Linked DNA regions of Oreochromis niloticus. The protein of the gene in region 2 interacts with the protein of the main gene of each other region in a biochemical or structural test. Links are inferred from orthologs where the notes say so. Each region holds a gene or a part of one and is shown on either strand. Other genes may lie near its edges.

The links.
Region 1: the proteins of cib1 (region 2) and map3k5 form a complex in vitro, tested with the Homo sapiens proteins (2 studies listed by BioGRID and IntAct). The link is inferred for Oreochromis niloticus from reciprocal best matches to the Homo sapiens genes CIB1 and MAP3K5.

Annotation. Positions count from the first base shown.
Region 1 is NC_031980.2:17,201,736-17,217,306, reverse strand, and holds the start of map3k5 (mitogen-activated protein kinase kinase kinase 5), read right to left. Parts: upstream 6,153-15,571; 5' UTR 5,590-6,152; coding exon 5,154-5,589; intron 1-5,153. UniProt on the Homo sapiens protein: Serine/threonine kinase which acts as an essential component of the MAP kinase signal transduction pathway. Plays an important role in the cascades of cellular responses evoked by changes in the environment.
Region 2 is NC_031972.2:57,579,714-57,595,084, reverse strand, and holds cib1 (calcium and integrin-binding protein 1), read right to left. Parts: upstream 5,701-15,371; 5' UTR 5,340-5,700; coding exon 5,289-5,339; intron 4,585-5,288; coding exon 4,550-4,584; intron 4,453-4,549; coding exon 4,353-4,452; intron 4,186-4,352; coding exon 4,032-4,185; intron 3,937-4,031; coding exon 3,818-3,936; intron 3,695-3,817; coding exon 3,606-3,694; intron 3,524-3,605; exon of another isoform or gene 3,521-3,523; coding exon 3,499-3,520; 3' UTR 3,300-3,498; downstream 1-3,299. Other genes in the region: unc45a (protein unc-45 homolog A), read left to right, coding at 1-23; rccd1 (RCC1 domain-containing protein 1), read left to right, coding at 1,310-1,517, 1,623-1,838, 1,937-2,096, 2,227-2,348, 2,425-2,526, 2,615-2,785, 2,872-2,901, 3,016-3,197; titin, read right to left, coding at 9,384-9,418, 9,532-15,371. UniProt on the Homo sapiens protein: Calcium-binding protein that plays a role in the regulation of numerous cellular processes, such as cell differentiation, cell division, cell proliferation, cell migration, thrombosis, angiogenesis, cardiac hypertrophy and apoptosis.

The DNA.
Region 1 (15,571 bases), on a different chromosome or scaffold from region 2:
TGCAACAGTCTATGGCAACTGCATTTTCTCAGTAATTCAGGGAAGTTTAAACCTGATTTCTCATAAAGAATTTCATTATTTCTGCCATTACCGGATAAAAATGCTTAATGAGATTTACAGAAAACCTCTGCTTTAATGTTCCCCAATTTAACCATTTCTAATTTTATCTAATATGAGCCATCACTCATAGATAATGCCTCCGTTATAGCTGAAGCAGAGGTGTTTTACTCCGTTCCTGGCAGCCTAATATTACAAATTCACATTTTTTAATGAATGTCTTACCGATAAATCTTTACAAACATGTTATAAGAAATGTCTCAGCTTTTGTAGACTCTGGTCTCATAGATTTAAGATATTTTAGTATTGTTTTAGAAGGTTGAAAGATTTTAAATCAAGAATGTTTGCTGATCTTTTACAGATATCTTTGGTTTGATCTGGTTCTGAGACTGATTTAGGCGATTTTCAGTAGAAAACATGTCCAAGTTCAGATTTTGAATTTGTTGTTTGACATAATTTAATGACTGAATCTGAAACAATTTTACTCACAGTCAGACCGTCTGAAGCCAGCATTTAAAAAGTAACTTTAAAATACATTTAGTTTTGTTTTAGTCATTTCAGCCTTAACTTTACTCAGATATTCACATCACAACCAAGGTCCAACCGTGACAGTCATTTTTCCATCAGTGTGACTGATTACAACACAGCAAATGAGTCAGAAACACGGAGACTATAAGTGCTACAGGATTCTCATAATTAATCGGCAATATGATCGCTGTCTCTGTACTTATTGATTATAAAAGCAGTCGTGTAATTTACAAAGAATGATGAAGAAACATCTAACCGACATTTCAGTGTTTGTAAAAATGGAAACTCCTGTTAAAGAATTTGCTTCCCTCTGAGCTTTGATAGCGACTTTATGTATGAAGAAATGAATCGGAGCATCAGCACATGGTTCACGTACGGGAGGGGAGGAAGAGTCAGAGAGAAACAGAAGAAAACCTGCCAGCGAGCAAGTGGCATTCTCAGAGTTTGTCACCCTGTTGACTGACTCAGAGTTTAAGTTGAACTACCTTCTGAAACAGAAAACTTGTCTGAGGGTGAACAGCCTCAGAGTCCGTAGCTAAAGCTTCTTTCACTTCACCCTCTGCCAAAGATATCAAGAGAGAAACAACTCAAGCACTGAATCCTGATGACTTTGTGTCTCAAGTATAAGATGGGCCATCACTGAGGCTGGTATTCCAGACTGGGGGCTGAGAATCGGGCTAATCACAAAAAATAAATAAATAAAGGAAACACCTTCCCTGAAGCCTGATATACCACATGCTGTTAAAAAGACAGATGAAGATTACCTCATGGGCTAAGGGAAAGCATATATTTAAAAACAACAACCGGGAACTGGGAAAACAAAAAAGATACAGTTGATAAAGAGTGTGTTTTTAATTTAAGACATTTTATATAAGTTATTCAATTTCCAACAGCCTCGATTAGCTGACAGAAATGTGGACCTTTGTTTGGATAGAATTAATCGTCTAAATTCGACCATTCAACTGAAAATCTGAATATTCAACTCATATCCACCCATCTACAGCACAGCTACTCAGGAGAGGCAGTGGGATGAGAAACATGGCAGTTAGGGCATATCTGCTTCTTTTTTTGGGGTGATTTTTACAATAGTTATAATAACAAAAGTTTCAATATATATCAAAATCAGCAGGATGATGAAGTATGAATTTATGCTTCATATTTTACTTCTGTGATTTTGTCCTTTCTGTAATTATTAGTTCTAATAATTGTCATTTGTAATCAGCATGTTTTTCATAATTAACACATTTTTTAATTTTTAGAAATAGATGGCTTTAACTAATTATCCGCTAACATGCTGTATTTTTTATTTTGGATTAAATGACATTCACGGCTTAATTTCACACTTGGCTCAAAATTGACATCTTATAAAGAAAAATGACATATTGTTATCCTACCAGCCCACTTTTTATGAACTGTTTTGTTTGGGAACAAAATGACTGCAGCTGGCTAATGAGGTCATCGTTAGCAGTCATAGATGGGACTCGTGAGTTCAAGGTCCTCAAAGGGTCAGATTTTTTCTGGATTTTAAGTATATTATTTTTAGGTTTTAGAAAGCTGGTCAATAAAACATCATACCGAGTGCCTGTAAACTGTATATGTATATATGAATACAAGTACAAATGATTTTTTGAAAATGTAATTCAGCGTTTCTTCACAGATGTTAGTTTGTAAGATTTCACATGTGTATTTGGAATTTTTTAATGTTTATTTTTGTATCCAACTGAGAAAACAACATAATCTGTGATCAGTTTACTAGCAGACAACGTGCTCTCTCTTATTTTGAAAGTCCGATCACTGCTGGCAAACCAACCTTGGCCCTTTCCCTCCCGTGTTTTACCTACAGACTGGCTCGTTGGCCAGGTTGAACTCAATATTAATTAGTTGCTTCTCCAGAGAGGCTTCTGTCACACAGTTGGATGCACTCCAACTCCACTCTCTTGCACTGCAAATGGCCTTGCTCTGCTTTGGAGATCTGCTGTGAAATTTACTGCGGATGCAGAGCAGAACAAGGACCACTATAATCTTGTATAGTTCCGTGACAAAATCCACACATACGGTAAGTATCTAAATTTTGAAAACACTGATAGGTAGATATGTAATCTGTTCACATCTGTTTTTTTTTTCCTCCCCCCACTTATGTTGGTTAATATCATGTGATCAGTGGTATAAGTAAGACAGGCACAGCTACACAAATATGACTTCAAATCTGAATTTTGACTCCATGAATAACTGGGCTGTAGTGAATAAAATTCCCAGTGATAAGATATGGTTAGCTATCACTGTTGCCAAACTTTTGCATCTACACTTCCTGTGTTTCATGTCCTGAGGGTTTCACAATCAGGCTCTGCCATCTTTCAGCCAAATACCCTCTTTGTCCACAGCATCATGCGGGGAGGACATGTAAGGACAGTCAGGAACAGCTTTTCATTGTATCTGAAGCAGACACATCACGCTTCCAAATGACAGAAACCAACAAGCTCACTCAGGTTTTTTGTTTCTGGTCTTTCGTCTGCAGGAGGATAATGAAGAAGTGGTGTGTGAGTGAACAGATATAGCAATGTGTGTCTGGGAAAATGCCACAGCCCTCCCCTGTGTATTATGAGAAAATTCCACGGTAGCTCAGAGGAAAAAGACCAAACAAAACACTGGGAACATGATGTGTTTGTGCAGCCAATAATATGAGAAGCAAGAAGCACGTCGAGCATGGAACAAACAATACACCTGTCTGCCTTCACTAGTAGGCTCTGATGTTGGCAATATAAGTGCTGTTACTGCAACTAAATATGGTTAATTCAGCTCTATTTATAATCAGTTTATAATCACTACATTGCTATAGTTGGATAAAAATGTTATTACATATACTTTTTCTATGCTACTTTTTGCATAGTATTAAGAATTTGTTACGGTTTAACTCTAAATTTTGCACAATTATAAAATGTTCATAAGCACCTTGGTGGGGCTGCTGACCTTGTGTCCTGATTTTCATTACTTTTTGACAGTTGTTGCTAAGATTTGTGAGGCGGCTGGGTAATGCATTGTTTAACACACTCTCCCTTAGCTTGGAGTGTCCTTCTACAGTGCAAACATATTATTGTTGGGTTGAACTGGTTGGGAACTTGTTGGGTCTAAACTGGTCATAGGTGTGGATTTAAGTACAAATGGGAGTGGAATTGTGACCTGACCAGTTACCCGCCTCTCGCCAAATGTCAGCCGGGATTGGCTTCAGCTCCCTGTGAGCTTAGCTGGATGAGTGGTTAAGAAAATACATGGACCTTTTATTAGTGACTGCTAACCATTGTGACCTTAGAATTCATGCTTTTGTTTTAAAAAATATATTTTTTCCCCCTATTGACTTAATCTTAGTTTTGTTACTGTTAACACTGATACATTTACCATTAATAAAACAGATTTTTTTTAAAGGAATTTTCTAGGTCTTTTATAATAAGGAAAAAAAATGCATCCTGCATATTGACTTTTATACATGTTGATTCTTTTATAGCTCCTGTCAGGTAAACTCTTTTTACAATATTAATAATGAGGGAAGCAATGATTGTGTCTTTAGGCTACCAGAGTTTGCAAGTAACCCCCCTCAAAAACAAACAAAAAACCCCCAAAATAAAGTTAGCATCATTTGCAGAGACGCCACTCTTTGAAAGGCTTTGACGTGTCACACTGTTTTATATTTACAATATCTGCTGAACACGTACTGATACAATCTTAATGAAATGCAAACACTGGCTGCTGTTTCTGGCTCTCAAACACTCTGACCAGTCATGTGCATTATAGTTGAAGAGTTTTTCATGGCTTAACCAAACCTTTCCAGTAGTATTTGGAGCCAACTGCTACATATACAACATGAATTAGAGGTGGAAAGTGCTTTCAATCAAGGGATTCAAGTTTGCTTCTCTGTTAGCAGATTCCAGTGGAAAGACCAGGCTCATGGCTCAAACCGTGACACTGAAGCACAATGCCGAACCCCACAATGGAAGAGGGGAAACTAGCCATAGGAGGGGGAACTCTAGCAATAATCCCCACATTAGTGGAGCAAATGATACAACTTCTCAGCAACTGTTGTTCAATGAGTTCCAGCTTTGTTCAGTGAAGTGTACATACCACTGTGATCTAAAGGAAGCAACATCAAGCCATGACATGCAGAGCAGTGAGATGTATTTAGGGAGCCCAGAGCAACCTGTCCTGCAGGCATAGTTTCCAACAACAGTGGTGATGCAGTAAACGCTACTTTCGAGCCCCTGAAAATAATTTAGGGGAGAGGTTCTTGTGCTACTCTTTCATGAAGTAAATGGCATTCATGGGTCACTGACCTTTAGTGAGGTCCACTGCGGCTTAATCATTATAATGGAGAGCAAAGATTAAGCCTAAAAATCAATTTAGAGGATTGATCTAAAATCCCAACAGGCTGCCGTTAAGGCTAAAAATGACCTCATCTAGGAGGTCATAATCGTAGTAATCACTTTTATAAATGTTTGTCTTCTCACTTGCTGAGGGCGGTTTGGGAAGCTTGTTGTGGGTGGATGTGGGATTTATAAGCCTTTCTTCACTTGACTCACCTGCGTTGTAGAACCTGTCCAGCACGGCGGTCTCCCCGAAATCCAGTTTACCAAAGTTCACTGTCTCTAGCTTGCTGCCCACAGAATCGCAAGCGTCCTTCAGACACTGCAGGGCCATGCTCTCATGATTATTCTGTTGGCTGGCCTCTCCGTTCACCACATAGGCCACTGTTACCGGCCTGCTTTTGCAAGACTTTCCGGTGGACAGCAACCCTCCGGTGTCCAAGGGGCAGCTCCCGGAGATCGGGCTAAGTCCCCCACCTCCAGTCCCCGAATCATGCCAAAAAGTCCCAGCTGCGGGGATTCCACAGGCACCACCAACACCACCACCACCACTGCTGTTGACGCTTGTATTTTCCCCGCTGAGGTTCTCTCTGCCGGGGCAAGCACCAAAGGAAGGTACCGCTAAAGAGATCCCGTCCTGGTCTTGATTCATCTTTCTTCAAGTGTCTTTTTAAAGTGGGGATTTCGATGAGTGGCTTCTCCACCAGTCCTCCATGGAGAGCCAGCGTTACGCACGGCGGTTACCCATGGAGCCTCTGCAAAGGCACGACGTGCAACTCTGCTCCTTCCACACAGGTAAACAGTCTGTTAGGAGCAGAGGTGCAGCTCCACATCATGCTGCATGACTGCCGTTGATTGCACGCTTACAAAACACGCGAATGGGGGCTGCAGGCGGACCGAAGTCACGACGATATCCGAAGAGAAAACACAGGAGGAAAAGCCACCAAATCCGCGCATTCCGTCTCAGCCGTCGCAAGAAATTCACATACTTCTCAAAGTTGAGCAACACAGCCACTGTTAGTGCAGCAACGCCCACGAGATCCACAAATGTCACACCGAGTCCAACTTAAGCTCACTTTAAATCCTCCGATCAGCACAACGGCTTCTCAGCGCTGAAAAGAGAAAGCACACCACGCACGCAGTCAGGGTGCCTTCATGTGTAGACAAACCCTGCCCAGTTTCCACTGTTATCTTCCAGGCCAGACTCACGCACTGGGCGGAGAGACGATACTCGGAGCCTGGGGTAGTGGGGCGGGGACACGATGACCATATGTGGAGTTGTGTACTTCAGAAAGGGAGGAGTCCCTTTGAAAACAACCCCCAAACAAAACCGCCCAAACGTCTCTGTGAGTCAATAACCTGTCATCTGGAGCGAAGGTAAAAATGAATAGGTGATTTATTTATCAGCTTTTTCCCGAAAATGATGAAAATGCGGGAAATTAGAGATCGCAATCCAGAACAAAAACACCCCTTTAGGACATCAATCTCCATAATGACTACATTGTTTTGTCGGAGCTGTGAGTTGGAAGTATTTCATAATCCTGCAAACTAATTGCATCGGTTTTGCCCATTAATCTTCTGACCCGCATGGATTAGGCCCCACGGTGACAAAGTGGTTGTGAAACAGGTAAAAGTCTGAGCACATGACCATGTGACTTTGTAAATCCTCTGGACAAACGCTAGAAGTGACTATTATTAGTAGTGATTGAATTAGTTTACAATAAAGCTATCCGGGTAGGTGGTCTGCTGTTCAGACGTGGAAGTGTCATCCATTTATGTTTCAAGGAGGCCCTCTTGTGGTAGGCACTTGATATTACAGTACATGCGGGTAAAGTATGAATAGCCTGCATTTTATACTTGTGCCATAAAATACTTTTGTCCTTTATTAACAAATACATAGCAGATATTTATGACCTCTAGAAAGAGAAAGTGCTTTATTTTCTCTGTAGTAAATTAGTCAACAAAGACTTATGTTATATTGACAGATGAAGTCAGCAGGAGTCTCTGTGGACTATGATGTCTGCAGAGAACATAACAACCTGTAGTGAGAGTAAGGAGTAGGTGGAAGAGAGCCTAGAGAGTTGGAGGTATGTTTTGAGGAGAAGAGGAATGAAAATCAGGAGAAGCAAGACAGATTACATGTGTGTGAATGAGAGGGAGACGTGTAGCAGTCAAGATGTGAGGTAAGGTGAAGGAGGATGATTTTGAATACCTGGGACAGGGTTGGTGTGACAAAATAGGGTGAAATGGAGGGAGATGATAACTGTGGTAACTCCAGAATGAAGTAGCTGAAAGAAGTTGAATAAGATGCTGAAATCAACGATGACCCCAAACAAAACTTGTTTGTCAGAACATGAGGTACAAATATGAACATACAGTATTTATATGTATGTGACAAAGGGTTAACAAATACACAAAACATAGCCATTGCTTTTAAATAAGGAAAGAGCATTCTTATCTCGGGGGAAATTCGTCTACACTTTATTTGAAGACATGAATTTCCTGCAGGGCTATTTCAAGGTGAGACGAGTCTTAAATCACTGAGCTTTAATGATTTTAACATTTTATCACTGGAGAAGGGGCTAATGTAGCACAATGACAATGATGTTATTAGAGGAGTGAAGGCAGACATGAAAAAGGCTCCCATTGGAAATATTCAGTGCTGTTACGAAAAGTAAAAGAAGATAAGGGGAAAGAGCCACGGTGAATCCTTTTTTTTTTTTTGCCATTGTGCTCTTGTTTTGCCTATAGGCTGTTGTAGCTTTAGCACAGCATAAAGCTAAGATGACAGGAAAAAAAAGTCCAGGAAGGAACAGTAATTGTAGTTTTACAATTACACACTTTAACTGTCAAATAACGCCAACATTTCCATATTTAAAACAATACAAATTCTGCTATTATAACTTTTAGAGCTGCTGTGACTAATTAAATACCATCAGAAAAGGCACTGAGCTCTCTGCTGCTCAGGGTAAACAGGTTACATTACAATGTTAGTCTTCAGGGAAGAGTCTGTTTAAATGATTGCGCCCCCCCCCCCCGAAAAAGTGTGCTTTTCCTTTTCTGCCACTAGATGTCTCACATTGACCGTGGTTGAAGTTTCACTCAGCAGGGTTTTAGTGACAATGCTGCCAAACCAAACACATCCACGGGGCTGTGTGATTTCTTTAAACACATCTGTCTGCTCTTCATCGTTTAGCTGCGGGCGAATTACAGATCACACCAGCCATTTATCCATCACCGTGTCTCTCAGTCACACTGGAATCAAATGGAATGAATGTCGAGGTTACATCACTGAGGCAAATTACACACAATTGAATGCAGTGAAAATGTATTTTTTATTGAATTAGTTCTTGTTTGTATACCTCTTCCCTCTCCTGCTGATGAATTCACATAAACCTACATACTTCACAGATAAATTTAAGTACATGTTGTCTAATAAAACATAAAACAAACGCTTGCAGATAGATGTCAGCCTTTATCTCATTAATAAAAAAATAGACTAAAATAACAATAAAACACTGCAAAAGAAAAACTACATATGCTTTATTCTAAACAATGAAAACTAAGCTGAAACGAGCAAGTCCATTCTGGAAAGGGACTTGATACCCAGCAGTCATAGAATGCAATAATTTCTGTAGGACTTATCTTCAACATAGAGCTAATGTAATGTGCCACTACGCTAAATGTCCCCTATCATATTAAAGAATTAAAACTAATTATTACACATTCATAAACAATTTTTAGCTCACACTGGTGAAGGTAATTGCTTTTTCCATATTGCCTGTAGTCTTCAATCATGTATTATATAGTGTGTAAAAATGATGATGAGTAACTTACCATTAAACAACATTTTAGACAGCTGATTTTATACCCTGTCTCACCTTTATTACCTTTATTTAACCAGGAAGTTTCATTGAAATCAAAGATCTTGCATACAATATAAAATACACGATCTAGGGAAAATTACGGCATATGTAATCCAAAATGTCGAGAGATCAAAATCAAAGTATCCAAGTTATTTAGTTATCCAAAATTAGAATTTGCTGGGCGTAAATTGACATTATGCCTTTTATCACATGGATATTCTAGGAACCTCTGAATAAGCTTAATTTATCTGATAAAATTTGGTTTGAAGTCTTGTTATTTTTTTAAATGTAATTTATTGAATCAATAAACACAACTTAGTAAATGTTAATAGTTAAGAGTTGCAATATGTCCTTCAAAGGAACAGTTGTGTTGTTCACTCATCCTCGACAGACAGTAGGGTTTCCCTGGCAACACAATACAACAAGCCCTGCAGCTGTCATCATATACTGATTTCATTTTTTGCTATACTGTTAAATTCTGATTGGCTTAAGAAAATATGTGACATCACGTGTTTCCAACACAACCATTCCCACCTTAGATCTGTGAGAAGTGACAGAACAAAAATATAAATACATGAAGCTCTCACCAGAAATAATCCTAAAAAAGTGTATTTTCATCTAAGGCAAAGGGAAGTTGATGGATTAGATTTTAAGGGCCTTTAACTACTGAGAAGTGAAGTATTTGACTTATACCCTATATTTTATATAATATATTTGACTTGACTCAAGCTGAAGAGAAAGTTTCCCTTTAAGGGCTTTAAAAAAAGGATTTTATGGCTACTTGAAGACCCACAAACATCTTATCACTTTACAGCATTTGGGTATATCAGCAAACAGAATAACGCTGTCTTGTGAAGATGTTCTTGCTTTTGGCTTTATTTGGCCCTCTATGAGCTCTGGAGTGAAATATGTCTCTTAAGGTCCTACATGTTACACTAAGATGACATTTAGGCTCAAACATTGTCTCTCTGCTGTTTGGTGAGGGCCAGTCCAAACATCCATCCATCTATCTATCTATCTATCTATCTATCTATCTATCTATCTATCTATCTATCTATCTATCTATCTATCTATCTATCTATCTATCTATCTATCTATCTATCTATCTATCTATCTATCTATCTATCTATCTATCATGGTAGTGGACACAGCAGGGTAATGAGACATGGCTGGAAATCAAGGAAATTAAAAAACACAGGAATTAAAACTGAGGACAAAGTAAAGCAAGTAAAACAGGAAGCAACAAAACACAGAGATAGGACACTGACACAAATGCAGCAACTTGACATAAGGGAGAACTACAAGCAAAAGTTGCAGAAAATGGATTTAAAAAATAGCAAAAACTAAAGACTATAAATCCTAAAAACTGAGCCCAGAATATAATCATAAAGAAACTACCCAGGAAACGCCTACTATGTACAAAACTCAGGAGTCATGACAAATGAAACCCCTTCGATTCTGTTTGCTTTCATTATTTTCTATCCGTCTTCTCAAAATTTTGGCTGATTCTTAAAAGGCACCAAGATAGAGCTGGCCAGCACCAGTATCAGCATAAGCACTTGCTCCCATTGATGGAAATGAGGTATTCAGGGCTCTTTAACATGTTTCAGGATACAGGGATGTAAAAGGTTGTAAATATATTTAATAAAACCAAAATCTTGTCCTAAACCTAATCAATAAGATTTTGAGCCCACACCTTTGGTAACGTGTGGGCACTTAATGTTGTTTCAAAAACTTGAGTTGGAGTACTTGTTGGGCAGGTCCTGGTTATATAACAAATCATAATACAGTGATTAAAGCAGCTGCTTGATTCTGTGCAGTGATGCAAAAGCACTTTAGGGGTGTGTCAGTATGCCGTGACATCACTAGATATAGTCAGAGGTGCAACCAGAGAGTGCAGTAAAACAATGCTTTTCAAGCTAGTATTAAGTCACTCTTAAATTAGGAGTTGCCAGATAAAAATGCACATAATGACCTTTTGTATAAATGTCAAGTTACATTTGTGATTGCCATAGGGCTGTGCTATTTCTCAGCATGGAAAATGTTTCAGAATGCATGCAACATCTAATTAAGTGTAAAGACTTTCATATATTATAGGGGAACAAGAAACAAACAATATACAGTGCGGCGTAATGAGTGAAGTTTGTAAGGATGAGAGTGTAGTTAACCATCAATAGGGTGTCCACGCTGCGCCCTGCAAATAAAGCTTTTCATTCTGCTCTGCCACAGACCATGAAATAGTCACTCAGCTCTGAAATAGAGAGAATCACTCACATGGAGAAACAGCGAGAAGTTCGGTTAGTTCTGCAGTGCAGGTAGGAGATAGATACTTGGAGGCACAGACTTATTGCAGCCCTCCATAGATATCTGCCAAAGTCTACACAAACATTAGAGGGAAACGGGGAAACAAAATTACAGAAATCTGCTAAGTTTGACAAATGGTTGGCTCCGCTTTGCCACTAGCTATTAGCCGGCAATGATTAATAAGTGAGAAAATAATTGCACTTCATTGAGATTGATGACGCCCCATTTAACCTCCCCACTCATCCTGGCTGCGCCACAGAGCACCAAGATGAGCCTCGGACACACTGCTGCTCTGCCGGCCTCATTGGCATCAAACACACACACACATAGGTACACACACAGGGACTGTAATGATCCTATGGGGCATTTTTAGGAGCCTTGTGGCGCTCTGATCATAAGTTCATTGTTAATAAGTGAAAAACAATGATCTCAGCTCTAGGAGGCCTCTGGGAAGCGCTCACTTCACCAATATAGAAGCATTTAAGTCAAACACCGTGGGGAATTAATGACAGCGGAGTCACCATTAACTGCTATGCTAACGAGTTTGTGAGCTTTGGCCCTCTTGTTAGATGCGTCTTCCTTGTGCGTGCGCGTGTGTGTTGGAGCGCTTGTACTGGAGAATCTTGTCGATCTGAAATGTACACGGTGAATGTGTTTGAATGTGATTTTCACCGGTTTTAAATGCAAACAAAGCGGCGGCGATCAGACGAGGCACGAGGAGTGCCGCTACGCCTTATCCTCTCAGTCTGTAAAGAGACATGGCCAAGGTTATTAAAGAAGGATGTAGCAGAGCAAGATGGCCGCTGTTGTGACCAGAGGCGGTGTGGAGAGATAAATGGTTGACCCAGCCTGGTGTCAGGTTAGGATTGATGCCACTATCAGCCCCACTGCTTTCCCAATGATTTTCTCAAATCTCTGATAGAGTGTGTTATCTAGTTACTGGCATGAGGGCAACGGCCTGCAGGCACAGAGAAGGTCAATCTATGAGGACAATCTTTGTTGGACTAAATGAGAAAAAAGACCTCACAAAAAAGAATAAAAAGCAGCTGCTAGGTCTCTGGGATAAGATAAGCCAAATTACTTCTCTTTAGTAGAATTGGCCTGAGGCAAAACATCAAAAAAAAAAAAAGAAGAAGAAGAAGAAAAAAATTAAGTGAGGCTGGTGTGCTCTCTAACTTTAGTGTTGTAGATTTCACCTGGAACCTCGGCTTCCTTGAACTAATTTTGATTCAGCGGCAGCAGCACCTTGAGGAATGGGCTGGGCCAGTTTGTATTTGTCTGCTGGTTAATCTGCATTCAACAAATAAATCTCCTAAACAGGAATATCCAGAATATATAACACCAGTCAGCAGTATAAACTGGCTTGCAGACCATCAAACTTCTCCATAATCTCACTCAATCAACCCGCTTGCTCTTTGTTTTTTTCAGATCTGGGCAAAAGGGTTTGACTAATAGGTTGTAATTTACCGGCTGAGGTCTTGATCAATAATTCTATGTCAATAATGATGGAGAGGTCTGCGCGAGGGGAAATGATTCCACTCATTGTCTGAGAAAAATGAAGGCCTGGACATCACCCCAGGCTTCGGGCAGATGTCCACAGGTTCTCTGCAGCTATGACGGTTGAGTCAATGAGTGAAAAGACAAATAACACACATGGACACACACATACACACAAGTTTTTATCACAGTGTGCGAGATCAAAACTTTAAAACACACAATTACACACACATATTTCTCTAATGGATATACTTTTCACTACGATTTTTTTAGTCAACGGGCCTTTCTCATGACAATCTCATTTTGAAAGCAGTCTTCTGACAGAAATATTGACCGAACGACTATAAATGGAGGGAACAATCTGCTTCTTTATGATCCAGAAAATTGCTAAAATGGTTTCAAGGAAATAAATAGCCCATCTTGATTCCTTTCTGATGTGGTGTGAAAATATAGTTTGTCTTATCTGCATGTATACAGCACATAAAACAAAAATAACCAAGCCAGATGTATCTGTGTATCATAGATTTGTAATTACTACTAAAAACAGACATTAACTGTAATTATTTTCAAGGTTTTCTAGTGGATTATGTGTTAAAGTCCCAATTTTCCATCCATCCATAATTCAGCATTACAGGGCTGTCTAATGGTGAGAGACACGGTGCACGTTTTGGACAGGTTACCAATCTGCTCCAAACTGTTTATCTGGTAAACACCAGACCAGATCAGCTAGCTATAAGGTTGCTATAGACAAGCACGAGGGTGGTAGCATCATGTTATGGGTGCTTTTTAGCAGCATGTATGGGCAGGAATTTCAGCATGACAGTAACACAAACAGCTACATTTCTGTTTGTTCGTGAGCCAAAGACCAGACTTAAACACCAATATGGAGATACCTGAAGACATTTCACAGACTGGGAAATCTGAATATGATAAACCAGGTGTGTAAATGTTTTAGAAACATAACATAACATTACTCTCATAACTCTCTTTCTGTTAACTTTCTCCCCAACTTCCCTTTCTTTCTTTTTTCCTTTTCCGTGCCCTGGTCTTGTCCGTTGTGGTTGTAATAACGCAACATAAAAAATCCTAATAACGCTTATATTTGATTTGCAATTATATTTTCTTTTATGTGTTCATTTGTCATTTGTTAGTTTTGGACAAAATAAGCTGAAGTGTTTTTTGCATTATGTTTTGTCTTAAAACTTATAGAATAAGTTTTTGGGGGGCATCATCATTAAATAACCTGGATCTTGCATCTTACACTTGTTCTGTGGTTCCATGTTTTACAGTCTTAGTAATAAAATATTAGTGAGACTTCCTGTGGCGAGGAATCCAGTATGTAGCTACAATCTTGATAAAAATCTTCTCAAGCTGCTGCAAGTCAGGATCTAATGCCTTCATCTGTCAGTCAAAGATAAACGTTCTTGACTCCAACCGACAGAGTTCAGGGAGTTTCTGAAAGCAGTCTAAATATTTTGAGACAAGCTTTTACTGAAACACAAGACACAACAGACCCAGAGCTCAGACTGTGGGCAGCATAGTAAGAGGAAACAAATGATCTCATATTCATTCAATTAAAACAGAGGTGCTCAATGTGATCGAGGCAGCTTTCACTTAACCTTTATTTCAAAACAATTCACTTCTTGTGATACAAATGTTAAAGTTAAATGTAATGTGCTCATTGAAAACTAAGCTAAAAAAATAAGAGGATGATACGTGGATAGATAAAACAGCAGGAACAGCCCCCAAAAATCTAAAGCAATAAAATTAACTCTCGAGACAGTGCACAACTGGAGGGGAAAGCAATTCATGGCTCTTCATTGGCTTGGCATTGCAGGAAGGTGCCCCTTCATGAATTTTGTCTCCTAGCAAATACTGAAAAAATGCCAAAAAGCTGCAGTATGGTGGGACACTTACAACATGCTAATCTCAGGAAAAGAGCTAGATGACAAACAACTATTACTTAGGAAAAATAGTCTGGGAAAAAAGATAAACCTGAAAATGTACATGTGATGTGGAAATAATAAAATGTAGACACACACAACTTAAAAAAGGTTTATTTGAGGTTACTGTAAAAAGAGCTCTTTTAGAAGTCCCTCATAACACTCCCCTATATATCTCACTACGCTACAAGTAGAACTAGGAAGAAGTAGGAATCATCCTTTTCCTTTCATAGTGGAAAGCTGTTTGTAGTACAAAAGAGTAACTTAACTAATTAAATTACTACACAAATACCAATGCACTGAAGCTCATGCAAGATAATGCTAAATGTAGTTAAACTACTAGTTTAATTTCAAGTAGCCGACTACCTGACTACCCTTAAAACAGTGTAAGAAAGTTAGAAGGTCTAGAAAGACTTTTATTTTGAAGAGACAGTACCCAACTGCTAAATGCACATCCATAAGGTCTTTGTAAGCCACTTTAAAAAAAATAAATTTGGAGTATTTATGATGCTTTCCACTGCAGTTTCTAACAGAAGCATGCACTCAGGCAAAATGTTTTGGTGACTGCTTGGAAAGCTTGAGAAAAGAAAAAAAAAATCTGTTTGCCCACAGAATCCAAATTCAAGGAATAAATGTTTTAACATTTAAAAATAATTCAGGAGTAATCCATTCAAAGTAGACAGGATTGTATGCTACTTCTTCTCAAATTTTATTAAAATTGACCAGATCTCAATGAAAAATATCACCTTTTACTTGGAATAATTAGAAGTCGTTCAGGATTATTTTCAATTTGTTAACTGTCAGAAGAAAAAGATAAGGCAGCGGGAGAAAAAACCCCCACTTTGGTGATCAGATGTCACCTTCTAACATGTCCGACCCATAAGGGGACCTTCATCCTGGCTGGCTGCCCCTCCACTGAGGTGGGCAGAGGTGTGCTTTTTGAGCAGACCTGAACAGTTTGAACATTGCGCTCTAAGTGGATTGGGTTCCTGTCAGACCTGAGCGGTTGGACATTGATAAATTT
Region 2 (15,371 bases):
AGAGCTCAGGAACTGAACCCTGAACACAAAGTGCAGTGTGTGAATGTGCCACCTGACAGTGTTTCAGAACTTCGAACGTTATATTGGACCAGTGAAGTAATTTCATTTTTGCAGGAAATGGGCTCATGTCTTAACAAAAAATGATTAAAAGCAATAAGGGATGTGGTGAAGAATGGTATCAAATGGAAGAACCAACAGCACACAAATGATTTTTGACTGCTGTGTAACGTTGATTGTATGCTTGCTAAAGTCTGGCAAAAGTGCATATTCCACCCAGAGACCAACATTTCTCCTCCATGTATTTTCACTAAAAATGATCATTCCTATATATGTGCAAATATTTAATTTGACTGTCATTAGTCCCACAAATACGTTCTTATTTTTATTGTGCACACTACTTTTCTCAATATTTTATTTTATTTTCAGCAAAAATAGAAACATTTCATTTACACTATAAAATGTACTTTTTGTTTAAATGTTTGTTAGCACTATTATTGACAGTCCAACACATTCCCTGTGTGCTTTGTTGTTTTAATACGTTTTAAGTGAACACATAAAAATAAATAAATAAATAAAAATGACCAATCCTCACTTCTCTGTTTACTTTATCTGATATCCAGCCTTGCTAGATGTACTTTATAATGGTGCTTTAGTGCTGGGATGCCCAACTATGTTTATCCCTCAACCATGAAAGGCATTGTCATCACCCTGCTGGGCAGGCAATAAGGATACCCAACATTTTGAATGTGATAACTTTAGAATGAAGCAATGTAGGAGTTTCAAATTGATACCTTAAGTGTATCTACTAAAAATCTCTGAGTTTGAATCTCAGTTTTCAGAAAATATTGTGAATGCAATAACTGAGAACAAAGATAGGATGTTGAAATTGACATCATAGGTACAGCTGCTAGGAGGATTGGGGGGGGGGGGCCACTGACTGCTCCGAGTATTTTTATATTATTAAAATGGCCATTCTACAACTTTGTCCTATCAAAGTTTGTGATGCACAATTTATAATTTATGGCAGGGGTTAAAACTCAATTTAGTTCAGTGATCATGTACAGTCCAGCTGATCTGCTACCTAAGTGAGCCAGGCCAGTAATACATAACAACCTGTATCAAAAAAGCCCATCTTAAATACTGTCAATAAACATGAACTTGGTGTCTATCTCTTTAAAGACGATTTAAACCATATGCTCCTCCCTCGCCACTCGTCATCATCTCTCGCCGCTTGTGCTCCTGCAGTACGAAAACAAGCGCAGCCGCAGGTAAGTTTGCGGATTCTTCCGCTGAGCGGCACGGTGTTCAGATGCGCTGGTTTGGTTTCGGCTTCAATGCCTTTGGACAGATACGTGTCCAGGAAAAGTCAGGCAGAGGAGAAAGTAGCAGCGCGCTCCACCAAGTTAAAGTAACTCACCCAGCAGAGCTCAGCAGTCACGTGGATAAAAGTGGATGCTGCTTGAAGACAAGTCAGATCAGAGTGAGCTGGAGTCGAAGAGCATCTTTACATTTAGATGGTGAGTGTATCAAAGACATCGCTCTGAGTTCTGAGGAATAACATGTCTTTAATACATCTATTGCTTTAGCTTAGCTCTTACGTTGTTGTTTTCTGTTTCTGTCAGGAGACAGCTGCCTGAGCCTGGCAGGCTTTGGGGAATCGGTCTCCAGTGAGGACTGTGGTATTTCTAAAATAGAGAGCTATGGTTGTAAAGATGTATTCATCAGTGAATCGCACTTGACCCTGGCCTTCCCAGACAGGATTGAGACCTGGGATCTGCAGAAGAGGGAGAAGAGTCCATCATGGAGCATGGATATAAAAACCCACGCAGAGGGCTCTGGTAATGTGTATGCTAATATCTTATCTGGCTAGACAGACATTAATAATGATGTATGAAATTACAGAGTCTCAATATTACTTTTTATTTATTTTTTGTAGATGTGAATTTGCCATTGGTCCCTGGGGGTTACATTGCCTTAAAGCCTCCCCTCTACTGCACCTTACCAGGACACCTGAAAGCCAGGAGCCTAGCACTGGGTGCAGAGCATGCCGTTCTTCTTACTGCCACTGGAGCAGTGTACAGCTGGGGACTGGGCAGGTGGAGCCACTTACACATATATCTTTATTGAACATATGAGAAGCAGCAGTTTCATGCATAAACAACAATCAACAAACAAACGAACAAGCATAAGTTAATCTTCCTATGCGTGCATGTGTTTATGTAACAGCCATGGTCAGCTGGGGCATGGAGTGCTCACCTCTGAGGAGGAGCCCAGAGTAGTGGAGGCACTCTGGGGGATGTCCATGACCCGTGTGGCTACAGGAGGCTGGCACTCAGCTTGCATTAGTGGTAAATGTCAAATAAAGATTTGGACAAGTTACACTCGGTTTGAAAAGGATTTGAAGAGGATCGTTTTTGTTCTTAGATGGGGGTGACCTTTATGTGTGGGGCTGGAATGAGAGCGGCCAGCTTGGACTTCCTTCCCGAGGTCTGAGGAAATCTCAGCAGAAAAGTAGTCAGCAAACAGGTCTGTCCTGAAATGTGCACTGCTTTAAAGAGTTATATTGAAGAGGCAGTTTTTACATCCATTTTGAACCACTGACTTTATCAAACAGGAGAATTGTGCTATGATACCAGTACACCAGCTGATGAAAAGCTAAAGGAGGAAGAGGAGCATGAAGATGTATTCATATCAATCCAGGCGTTCCCTGCTCTGCTGGATGTCTCTCCTTCATGTGAAATCCAAACAGTAAGCTGTGGTTCCCGCCACACAGCTGCAGTAACAAGTAAGGAATGTCTTTTGGCAGTTGTTTTACAGGGATGCACATTTCCTAGCAAATAAACTAATTATGTCACAATTTCTTCTTTTCAGCCACTGGTGACCTCTATACTTGGGGATGGGGTGAGTTTTGGTTTTAGAAACGTGTTACATCTAAGTGAAATTCTCACAGCAGCATCATTCAAATCAAAGTGAATGCCGAGATTTTAGGCTTCTTTGCCTTTATTACCTTTCCAGGGGAATACGGCCAGCTTGGACATCAAACCGTAACTAGTTCAGATGAGCCGCAGCGTGTGGAGTTTTTCAGGGCTGAGCAGATGCGTGTGCTTGATGTGGTGTGCGGGACATGGAACACATTTGCTGCAGCTGTAAAGGAGGAAGTAGCTTGTGCTGAAAATAGCACAAAATGCACTTGTTAAGCACAGTGAACTTTGGACGACAGTTGTAAATTTCTCCTACAAACACAAAGAATTAACTAAATTTATTTGTTCATTTTTTTTCTCTATAAAAACTCAACTCAATACTTTTTGGTGAAACTTTTATTTTTTCTTCAAACAGATGTTTAAAAAGGGTTTATATTTGACAAATGACATAAAACAGTTAAGGCAGCAAAATCCACAGGTAAATATAATTTAAGGCAAGTAATTAAAACTGTTCTGATTTAAAATTATACACTAAAATTAAAAAGGTGCATGCATCTCCAAGGTCCACTGGAAGTCTTCAGAGCACAATCTTGAAGGAACTGTGGATAAATCAAATGAGAATCAATTGGACACTTATAAATGCAAATAATTATTGGTATTTGGAGCAGCTGGATTTCTAGTTACCTGACAAAATCTGGTGACCTTGAAATGACGTGCTGAAACTCTGAGAGGTTCACAGTTCCGTCCTTGTCGATGTCTGACTCTTCAAGAATCTAAACAACATGCAGACACGGGAAAGAAACACATTGTTAGGCTTACTGACACATCAGTATACCACCCCACACGCAGTTTATAACCACCCCTTACAACTATAAAGACAAACTCAGTAAACTCACGTTGCTGATGAGCTGCTTCATTTCCGTGGAGGAAAGTTTTGCATCATTTGTCTCACCAGTTAAGCAGTTAACCAGCTTCTCCAGATCAGCACAGTCAAGGGTTCCATCATCATCAAAGTCTGAAAGCAGCAGATTAGTTAGCATTACGTAGACTGACATCTTTGCATGCAAAAATAACTATATCACTTCTTAATCAACTTTTTTTTCTTTTTACCAAATATGCGGAATGCATAGTGGGATTTGATTTCCAGAGTAGCAGAGTCGCTGAAGGCACTCAGAAGATCCAGGAAGTCCTCAAAAGTGAGGCTTCCATCTTTTTGTTCAGAGGTAGAGAACACCCGGCAGATTCTTTCCTTGAAAGGGTTGGACTGTAACAGGAATGAGTACAAAGGTCAGAACAGATTACCAGCCACTGAAGCACTTCCTTCACAGCATGAATTACAATATAATCCCATAAACATAGAAGTCAAGCATTAACGAAAAAAACAAAACAAAAAAACACTGTAATGCACATGTTTTGTTAAAATCTTTTCACCTTGAGCTCAGGCAGAGTGATAATCTTGCCCATTGGTACTCTGGCATCTATTTGGTCTTTTTCATGTTTCTCAAGCAGTTCTGTGAATCTCTTGTGAGCACTGCAAAAAAAAAGAGAAAAATATATCACACATTACAACAAAGCAGCAGAAGACAAAATGTTTTTGTTAGTATGATGACTTGCAGCTTGTCACTTACAGAAGAATTTCTTGTTTTGTCAGGAAGGTCAGCTCCTAAAAATATATGTAAGGATTAGTCCTTTAAATATTTTTATAGAGAAGTTGAAGAGCTTCTTGTTCAAATAAACAGGCATCTTCCTCTTAATTTAACAAAAAAAATAAGTAAAAATAAAAGAATATAAAAAGTGGTACATTAAACGATAACAAACAGTATTCAACGGAGCTTTGAATAAACAACCAAACAAAGACAAGACAGCCCGGACCCACTCAGTGCGTACCTGATTTTAATTACTGAAGTGTTCAAACGGGAGATAAAAAGATGACACATGAGCGCTTATTTTAACAATAAGCGCTTCTTTCTTCTTCCAAAACAAAGGCAAAGTAAATGTAAGCATCAGTGCAAAGACAACAATCACTTATTAACATAAATTTGTAACTTTTACCCTCAAACGGATGTTTTTAAAGAGTCTGAGCAACAGTATTGGTTATTACTAGGCTAGTGACCGTAACTTGTTTTTAATAGTATTTCCACAGACGTTACATATAATCACTACGAATTACATAAACTACAAATGTAAATAATATTGGTTATTTGAGCACCAGGACGCTTATCATTTTATTTCTCATTTGAAACGTCAGGCTAACATAGCTATTACGCTCTTCCTTTAACGTTATTACAGGGCGTAAAAAACACTTCCACTCGTCCATAAAGAAAATAGGTAAAGTTTGCCTGTGGAGACTTTGCTTTCGGGACTTACCTGATATTCTGAGAGCGACTCTTTCGAAAGTTGACTCGCCGTAGTTCCCATGTCGAAGTTTTCAACTCCAAATTGTACTTTGCTGTAGTAAACAGTAACCCGCAAAACTACTGAACGACTAATGTTTTCTGCTTCGCTTACTTCCGGTTTCTGACTAGAAGCGTCCACCCCTTGTCGGGTGTAACGTAGCGGTTTCTATAGTGACGTATATGCAAAACCTTTAAATAAAAGTGGCCTTTTTTTCTTTGGAAAGTTTGAAAAAGAAAAACTCAGTTTGGTTCCTGTTCACAATTTTGTCATCATTACTTGATTTTCGTTGAGATAACAAAATAAAAGAGGAGACCGACTGGAAGTGGGTAAAGGTCGCTGATGAAATAAAGATACTAAAAACACTTTATTAATTAAGACGTGAGCAGTGAAATGTACTCAAGTACAAGGAGTAGCTTTTATTTTTATCGTAGCATAAAAATAAAGCCCTTCGAGTCCTATTATTGTGGGGTCTCTAGCGATAGAATCACTAGTATCACAGTAGATTGTATCACTCTAACCAGTCCAACCCAGTTCCACATATTACCAAAGAAGACAAAATAAGGTTTCCTTTCTTTATTTGTATAACTACGGTTATTCGTGAGTTTTATAATCCATTAAATTACACAACATCTTTTTCTGAAAAAAACCCCCCTTCTAATACTATCACTGATCTGCAACCCAATTAATCATACTTGCAACCCCATGATCATATATACAAAACAAACATTACAAACATATGTTAAAAACATAAAATATTATTGCACAACATTTCTATGGTCCTGAGTATTTACTGGACACATTTATGTCATAATCTAAAAATAATAGTAATCCATTCAACCCTATTGTATTATTTAAAAATAAATAAATAAATTGTTTCTTTAGCTCACAAAGGCTTAATTTATTCTCTTTGTAGTTGTTTAAATTATTATTTTAAGTGTATTTAAGCAAAGATATCAAAAAGATTAATTTGCAAAAAACATCACTATTTATTTTCAGTAGATTTTGAAAGTTGCTTAAATTAATATAAACCGAGACTTATCTGAAACTGAATGAGTATTCAGTATGAGGGAGACTACTACTATCTTCTCACAGTCCAAAGACATGCAGCAATCAGTGGGGTTAGGTTAATTGGTGATCTTTAAAGTAAGAGTGTGTAAAATCTCACCACTAGATGTCTGTAGATTGCAATCAAATGAATTCTGTTTTCTTACCCCTCCCAATCCAAGTGCATAATTGTAACTATGGTGGCTGCTATAATATGACAAACTTGTTTTAGTCAACCAAGGGAGATCAGAAACTTAACACTTAGACTGTACCATAATATTAGCTTATAGTCGACTGTTGTTGTTTAGCTGGCTTACAGTGGCTTGCAAAAGTATTCGGCCCTCTTGAACTCTTCCACATTTTGTCACATTACAGCCACAAACATGAATCAATTTTATTGGAATTCCACGTGAAAGACCAATACAAAGTGGTGTACACGTGAGAAGTGGAACGAAAATCATACATGATTCCAAACATTTTTTACAAATAAATAACTGCAAAGTGGGGTGTGCGTAATTATTCAGCCCCCTGAGTCAATACTTTGTAGAACCACCTTTTGCTGCAATTACAGCTGCCAGTCTTTTAGGGTATGTCTCTACCAGCTTTGCACATCTAGAGACTGAAATCCTTGCCCATTCTTCTTTGCAAAACAGCGCCAGCTCAGTCAGATTAGATGGACAGCGTTTGTGAACAGCAGTTTTCAGATCTTGCCACAGATTCTCGATTGGATTTAGATCTGGACTTTGACTGGGCCATTCTAACACATGGATATGTTTTGTTTTAAACCATTCCATTGTTGCCCTGGCTTTATGTTTAGGGTCGTTGTCTTGCTGGAAGGTGAACCTCTGCCCCAGTCTCAAGTCTTTTGCAGACTCCAAGAGGTTTTCTTCCAAGATTGCCCTGTATTTGGCTCCATCCATCTTCCCATCAGCTCTGACCAGCTTCCCTGTCCCTGCTGAAGAGAAGCACCCCCAGAGCATGATGCTGCCACCACCATATTTGACAGTGGGGATGGTGTGTTCAGAGTGATGTGCAGTGTTAGTTTTCCGCCACACATAGCGTTTTGCATTTTGGCCAAAAAGTTCCATTTTGGTCTCATCTGACCAGAGCACCTTCTTCCACATGTTTGCTGTGTCCCCCACATGGCTTGTGGCAAACTGCTTATGGTTTTCTGTTAACTATGGCTCTCTTCTTGCCACTCTTCCATAAAGGCCAACTTTGTGCTGTGCACGACTAATAGTTCTCCTATGGACAGATTCCCCCACCTGAGCTGTAGATCTCTGCAGCTCGTCCAGAGTCACCATGGGCCTCTTGGCTGCATTTCTGATCAGCGCTCTCCTTGTTCGGCCTGTGAGTTTAGGTGGACGGCCTTGTCTTGGTAGGTTTACAGTTGTGCCATACTCCTTCCATTTCTGAATGATCGCTTGAACAGTGCTCCGCGGGATGTTCAAGGCTTGGGAAATCTTTTTGTAGCCTAAGCCTGCTTTAAATTTCTCAATAACTTTATCCTTGACCTGTGTGGTGTGTTCTTTGGACTTCATGGTGTTGTTGCTCCCAATATTCTCTTAGACAACCTCTGAGGCCGTCACAGAGCAGCTGTATTTGTACTGACAATAGATTACACACAGGTGCACTCTATTTAGTCATTAGCAGTCATCAGGCAATGTCTATGGGCAACTGACTGCACTCAGACCAAAGGGGGCTGAATAATTACGCACACCCCACTTTTCAGTTATTTATTTGTAAAAAATGTTTGGAATCATGTATGATTTTCATTCTACTTCTCACGTGTACACCACTTTGTATTGGTCTTTCATGTGGAATTCCAATAAAATTGATTCATGTTCGTGGCTGTAATGTGACAAAATGTGGAAAAGTTCAAGGGGGCCGAATATTAATATTAATTATAATTTTGCAAGCCACTGTATTGTCATCTGTCTGGACACAACAGGATTGCATGTCAAATCTGCTGACTAGAAGAAATTGTGACAATATCAGAAATAAATAAGCACATTTATCCATGTTTTCATGTGTTTTCAGTTCAGGAGATGGGGCTTGAGGATGCTTATTCTGTTGTCTCCTTTCTTTGTGTTTTTGCTTCTTCGGTGAAGGGGACCCCTTCTCAGATGATAAAACATAGGTCCTTCATATCGTGAATCTGAATTTACCTCTATGTTTTCTTCTCCTCCGTCTTTGGTGTATACCCTGACCTGGACAAATCTACTTTTTTCATGTTTTTTTTTTATTTGTTTTTGTATTTTTAATACAGAACAGAATTTCTTTTAATGTGTCAGTTCTTTTTTTTAACCATTTCTAAACTCCTCCAGAAATAGTAAAATAAAAAACAAACAACTATGGTTTTGGGATTAAAAGTGTTCTTGCTGGTTTTCCTACCTCTTATAAAGTAATATTGTCTTGTCTTTTGTCAGCAGCATAAATACCATAGGTGAGAGAATTTTTCAAGTCAACCCAAAGCATACATATATGTTTGTCCGACATGTTCAGAAAGAAAAAAAAAATCTTTGGCATAAATATGATCAGGTTACTTCCCCAAACAAAAGACAGAAAAGTACGGGGACATGAGACTAACTTGTCAACTCGTTATACTCTGACTCTCATGTCAGGCAAAAGACAAAAACATATCTGCATGTGTTTTATCCCAGCAGGGATAACGTTAAGCAATGCAGAATTCCAGAGTCTCTGAATTTTTGTGTGCTGCCTGAAAATGTTTTCCTTTACATAAATAAAGACATTTGAACCATAAAGTTAGAAACTGATACATCATAATTCATCAGAATGGTTGTTCACCAGCATGAGCTATTAATAATAACTTTTTTTTATTGCCTTTGGGTTTTTTTTCAAAGTTTTACAAAATATGTTTTGATTTGAACTCAATCGACAAAGAACATCTTAAAACAAAATTGAATGTATTCTATTTTTATAAAAAAAAAAAGAAAACAAAAAAACCCGATGAATATCTTCTCCAAATTTCAGGAGATGATTATCTTAACGTGGGGCAAGCTAGGCTCCTGGATTTGTCTCCCAGTCTGTTGTATCTAAAGCAAAAACAGAGGTAAAACAGCAAGTAAAAGTGTGCAGGTGAACTTTTAACATGAATTTTTGCCAAAGAATTCTTGTAGCTGATGGTGTGTTTAATCTTAAGTGTTACCTGTCATTTTTGTTCCCTCTCTGGTCTCAGCTGGAACCCCAATCCCGTACTCATTTTCTCCTGTGACTCTAAAGAAATAGATTCCTCCCTCCTCCAGGTCGGACACCTTGTAAGACAATCGGCGACACTTGTCAGTAAGTCTTATCCATCCCGTTCTGCTGATGTCTCGTATGTCTACAAGGTAGTTCTTCACGGGAGACCCTCCCTCATTCTCAGGAATGTCCCAGGTAACAGTGGCAGAGTTCTTAGTCACATCTTTAACTATTATATGAGCCGGGGGACCAGGTGAATCTAAAACCCTCACATTTAGGGTCAAAGAGGCAGCTCCAGCAGCATTTTGCAGTTTGACAGTATATTTGCCAGAGTCATCACGTGTTGCTCGTTCCACTGTGATAGAGGTGGCAGAGCTCGTGGTGTTGATCATTCCTCTGACTCGCAGATCAACATCTGCTTTCCCCCATGACACACTGGGAACAGGTTTGCCTGTGAAAGGCACCATCAATGTGAAGGAGCTGCCACATTTAACAGGCAGAGTCTTTCTCATCTCAGGGTTAATGTGAATCTCGGGCTTCTCCTCTCGCTCTGTAGCTACTTCGGGGTCTGTTTCTGGGCTAGGCTCACTAATACCAACTTTATTTATGGATCTGACAGTAAAAACATATGCTGTCCCCGATGTGAGTCCAGTTACTGTAAACTCTGTCCTATCTGTGTTCTGAACAGCAACAGTCCAGTCTTCTTCTGTTGATTTTCTGAATTCAACTTTGTACCCTGTAACTGCCGCTCCACCGTCAAACACCGGTTTGTTCCATGACAGAGTGATTGAAGATCTGGATGAATCAATTATAGTCGGCTTTACTGGAGGGGAAGGAAGAAACTTTGGATCCTCTGCCAAGGTGAGTGGACATGGCAAACTTGGTTCACTTAGCCCAGCAGCATTCTCAGCAAAGACTCTGAATTCATACTCAGATCCCGGATGCAGACCAGAGGCTTTGACTCGTAGGTCATAGACTGGCTTCTTATTGACCCTGACCCAACGGATACCCTGCTTCTCCCTTTTCTCTACAATGTAACCGCTAATGCGGCTGCCACCATCAGAGGCGGGCGTCTTCCAGCAAATAGTCATTGCTTCATTGGTTGCACTTGTGACCTCAACATCTGTTGGAGAAGATGGGATGGTAAAAGGATCCATGGCCTTGACTGGGTCACTTTCCAAAGTCTCACCCTCACCATATTTATTGACTGCCCTCACCCTAAACAGGTATTCGTTTCCTTTGAGAAGTTTGGTTATCTTGCAAGTAGTTGACATCATGTCACCATACACAAGGGTCCAGGCAACACGGCTGGTTTCACATTTCTCAACAATGTAGTACATGATCTCCGCCCCACCAGTCTCATGAGGAGTTCCCCATGAGAGGGTGCACTTTTCTGCTGAAAGTCCAGAAACTTCGAGGGGTCCAGCAGGTGGACCAGGCCTGTCTAGTACTTTGCAGGTGATAGCCTTAGATGTGGTACCCCCTGTATTCTGGAGAGTAAGAGTATACTGCCCAGAGTCTTTCCTAACAGTTTCTCTGATAAGCAGAGAGGTATGCGTTTTTGTTGCAGTTATTTCAACTCGTCCTGTGGTGCCAATATTTCTACCATTCTTCAGCCAAAACACTGTAGGGTTGGGGCGGCCTGAGATGACAGCTTCTATTCTTAGGAGGTCTCCTGCTTTGACAACCACCACCTGTTGAAATTTGTCTTCCAAGATAATTTTGGGTGGCTCTACATTGTGCTGTGCTGTGACAGGTCCGGTTGTTTCAGAGGGTGGACTGAAGAGCTCCGCTGCATTCTTTGCAATAACACGAAAGTTGTACTGTTCACCCTCTGTGAGGCCAGTCACTTCAAAGAAGGTGTCCAATAAGTTTGTGAAGTTACACTTAAGCCAGCAACTATCAGGCAGTTCTTTGCGCTCAACAATGTAACCAGTTATTTTAGCTCCACCATCATATTCTGGCTTGTCCCACAAGAGAGTTACTGAAGTGTTAGTTATATTGGTGACAGTGAGGTTGCCTGGGGGGTCACACTGGTCTCTAGCTGCTACAGGGTCAGATGGCTTGCTACAGGGTCCAACACCTGCCATATTCTCTGCACACACCCGGAACTCATATATAAGACCCTCCTCAACACTTGTCACCTTATACTGGTTTTCCGTCACTGGGCTTTTGTTCAATTTTTTCCACAGAATACTGCTTTGATCTTTGCATTCAATGTGGTACCCAATAATAGGGCTGCCACCATCACTCTCCGGTTTGCTCCAAGCAATGACCATAACAGACTTTGAGGCCTGCACAACATGAAGATTGGGTGGTGAGCCAGGTGGCTTGAAGGGATACTGAGCAACAACAGGCTCTGACTCAGTGAACTGGCTCTTTCCATAGCGATTCTCTGTAGCAACACGAAACTGGTATTCAGTGCCTTGTGTCAGACGGGAAATTTTGATTGACGTTCTTGCAACTGTAGCTGATACATTCTGCCATAATGTACTGCCTGTATCTCTTTTCTCAACAACATAATTAGTGATTTGACATCCACCAGTGTAATGTGGAGGCTGCCATGACAGAGACACAAAGTCAGCACTGACATCATCAACACTGAGGTCTGCTGGAGGACCAGGCCTTTCAAAAACATTAACAAATATTTGAGCAGAGGTGGTTCCAACGGAGTTGGTCAGGGTCACCTCATAAACACCAACATCTATCCTGGTTGCATCTTTGATAATGATCTGAGATGACGTGTCAGATGTGCTCACATTTACTCTGCTTGTCTCTTTCAGTGCATTGCCGTCTTTTTTCCAGGTTGCTGTTGGTGGTGGTACCCCTTTAAATGGAACATCGATCTTTAAATCATTTCCTGCCTTCACACTGAATGTGTTGGACAGCAGACTGATCATAGGCTCAGTACTGGTATCCTTTACTATCACAGGTGCCAGCAGGCATTTTGGCTCACTCTTTCCCTTCTCATTCACTGCACACACTCTAAAGAAGTACTCTTTTCCTTTTGTCAGGCCATCAATAATTGCATCGAGCGCTTTACTCTCTGAACATTTTGTCCATGTGTCATCTCCCTTAGCTTGCATTTCTACAATATAACATGTGATTTTGCTTCCTCCATCATGGGCTGGCTTTTCCCAAGAGAGTCTTGCACTACTGCATGTGACATCGTTGAGTGTGATCTTGCCAGGAGGCAGGGGCACCTCAGAGACTTTAATAGCTTCTGTGGTTTCTGCTGGCAGCCCAGTGCCAAACTCATTCACAGCCAGGACACGAAAATAATAGAAGCATCCTTCCTGTAAATTGTCGATCTTATATGAATTCCTCATGCAGTTGCTAAAGACGCTTGTGAATGCTTTTCTAGTCTCCTCTCGCTTCTCTACAACGTAGTGCGAAATCTTTGCTCCTCCATCAATCAAAGGTGGCTCCCAGGAGATGGACACAGAATCCCTCTTTACATCCTTTACCTCCAAGTTTGTTGGTGCGCTGGGAGAGTCCAAAACTTTCACATTGATGAATGCTGACTTGGAGCCACAGCAGTTCGAAGCCGTCAACACATACTTCCCAGTATCATTTCTGTTGACATTTTCAATGAGTAGCACAGTGTAGGAGCTTGTTACCTCGATCTGAGCTCGCTCACTGAGGGTGTCACCTTCCTTTGACCATTTAACCTCAGGCTCTGGCCTTCCTCTGATGGTAACAAAGAGGTGTAAAGTGGAACAGACTCGAACGCTGACAATCTTCCTCAAGGCAGCGTCCAGCTCAATCTCTGGTGCCTCTACTTTTTCGGCTGCAACCACAGACCCAGGTAGATCCACATGGTCTCCAACTCCAGCAGCATTTATTGCGCGAATACGAAAATTGTACTCTGCATTTTCTCTCAGTCTTTTGACAGTGTAATTTGTGTCCTCTACACCTGCGCTTTGTGTGCATGTAATCCACTCATCATCTGTTGCTTCTTTCATCTCTACTACATATCCACTGATGGTGGCTCCTCCATCATAGATTGGTTTTGACCAAGTCAGAGACACAGTACTGCTAGAATAGTCCGTCATTTTGGGGTTGGTTGGTGGACCAGGCGGGTAAGTAGCTTCACATACTTTTATATATTCACTTGGATCACTGGGAGCACCCACACCAGCTGCGTTTTCTGCAAGTATTCTAAACTGGTAGTAATGCCCCTCTGTGAGCCCAGTACATCGGAAACGCAAATCATTTAGTCTTCTCTTGTTGCATTTAGTCCACCTGACACCCTCTTTGTCAAGTTTCTCCACAATGAAGCCATCAATCTCTGAACCTCCATCAGTCTCAGGCCTTTCCCATGTTAATGTTACAGAGTCACCAGTCACAGCTGTAGCTATAGGTGTAGAAGGTGCACTTGGTGGTGTGAAAGGATTTTGTGCAATTAAGGGGTCTGATTCCAAAAATTCACCAACACCATATTTGTTCACGGCAGCAATTCTGAATACATATTCTTTGCCAGGTACCAGTTTTGTTACTTTGTAACTGAGAGCTTCAACATGAGCTTCAACTCCTGTCCATGTAACACGACTGGTCTCCCTTTTTTCAATGATGTAATGAGAAACAGTTGCACCTCCATCATTTAAGGGGGGATTCCAGTGAAGACTGCATTTCTCTGCACTGATAACTTTTACCTTCAGCTGTCCATCAGGAGGACCAGGTCTATCCAGGACCTTCAAATTAACTGGGACAGAAGTAGTTCCACCAATGTTAGTGAGGCTTAAGAGAAAGTGTCCCCCATCTGCTCGTGTACAGTCCCTGATAGTCAGGGTTGTATGTGTGAGAGTGGTTTTGATCTCCATTCTTGGTGTGACTTTGTCGATTTCTCTTCCTTCTTTCAACCATGTTACTGCTGGAAGAGGCTTTCCAGAGTAATCAGCTTCAATGACGAATGGCTCTCCAGCCTGAACAACTATAGTACTCTTGAATTTAGGATCAACTGATGCAGTGGGTCCTTCAATGACATCCTGTGCAATGATGGTTGCACTTTCTGAAGGTGGACTCCAAACACCAGCCCCATTCTTAGCAGTTACTCTAAATTCATAACTTTGTCCTCCTGTCAGACCTGTGACTGTGAACTGATTCTCAATAACATTCGTAAAGTTTGCCTTCATCCACCTGCCATCCGGGAGCTCCTTTTTTTCTACAACATAGCCTGTAATACTGCTTCCACCATCATACTTGGGCTTTGCCCACTGGAGTGTAATGTTCTCTCTCGTAATGACAACGGCTTCAGGTTTACCAGGTGGATCACAGGGGTCTCTTGCCACATAGCATTCTGATATCCTGCTAGATGGGCTGAGCCCTGCAATATTTTCAGCAAAAACTCTGAATTCATACTCAATACCTTCTTCAAGCCCACTTGTTTTGAAGCGAGCATCAGGTATAACAAATTTGTTAAGTTTGGTCCATAAAATGCTGTTCTTTTCTTTGCGTTCAAGGTGATAGCCAATGACAGGACTGCCTCCATCTCTGACTGGAGGCTCCCATTCAACCACCATGCTGTACTTTGTAACAGTGGAAACAAAGGGGGTGCCTGGGGCAGCAGGAACACTGAATGGATATTGCGCAACTACAATGGGTGATGTGATTGCAGTACTTTTTCCATATCTATTTTCTGCAAACACTCTGAATTGGTATTCACTTCCTGTCTTCAACTTGGTAACTTTGATTGTGGTTCTTACTGTAGTTGCAGAAACAGTCTGCCACTCCATACTTGTAGATTCCCGTTTCTCCACTACATAGTTGTCTAGTTGACAGCCTCCTGTGTATTCAGGTGGCTCCCAG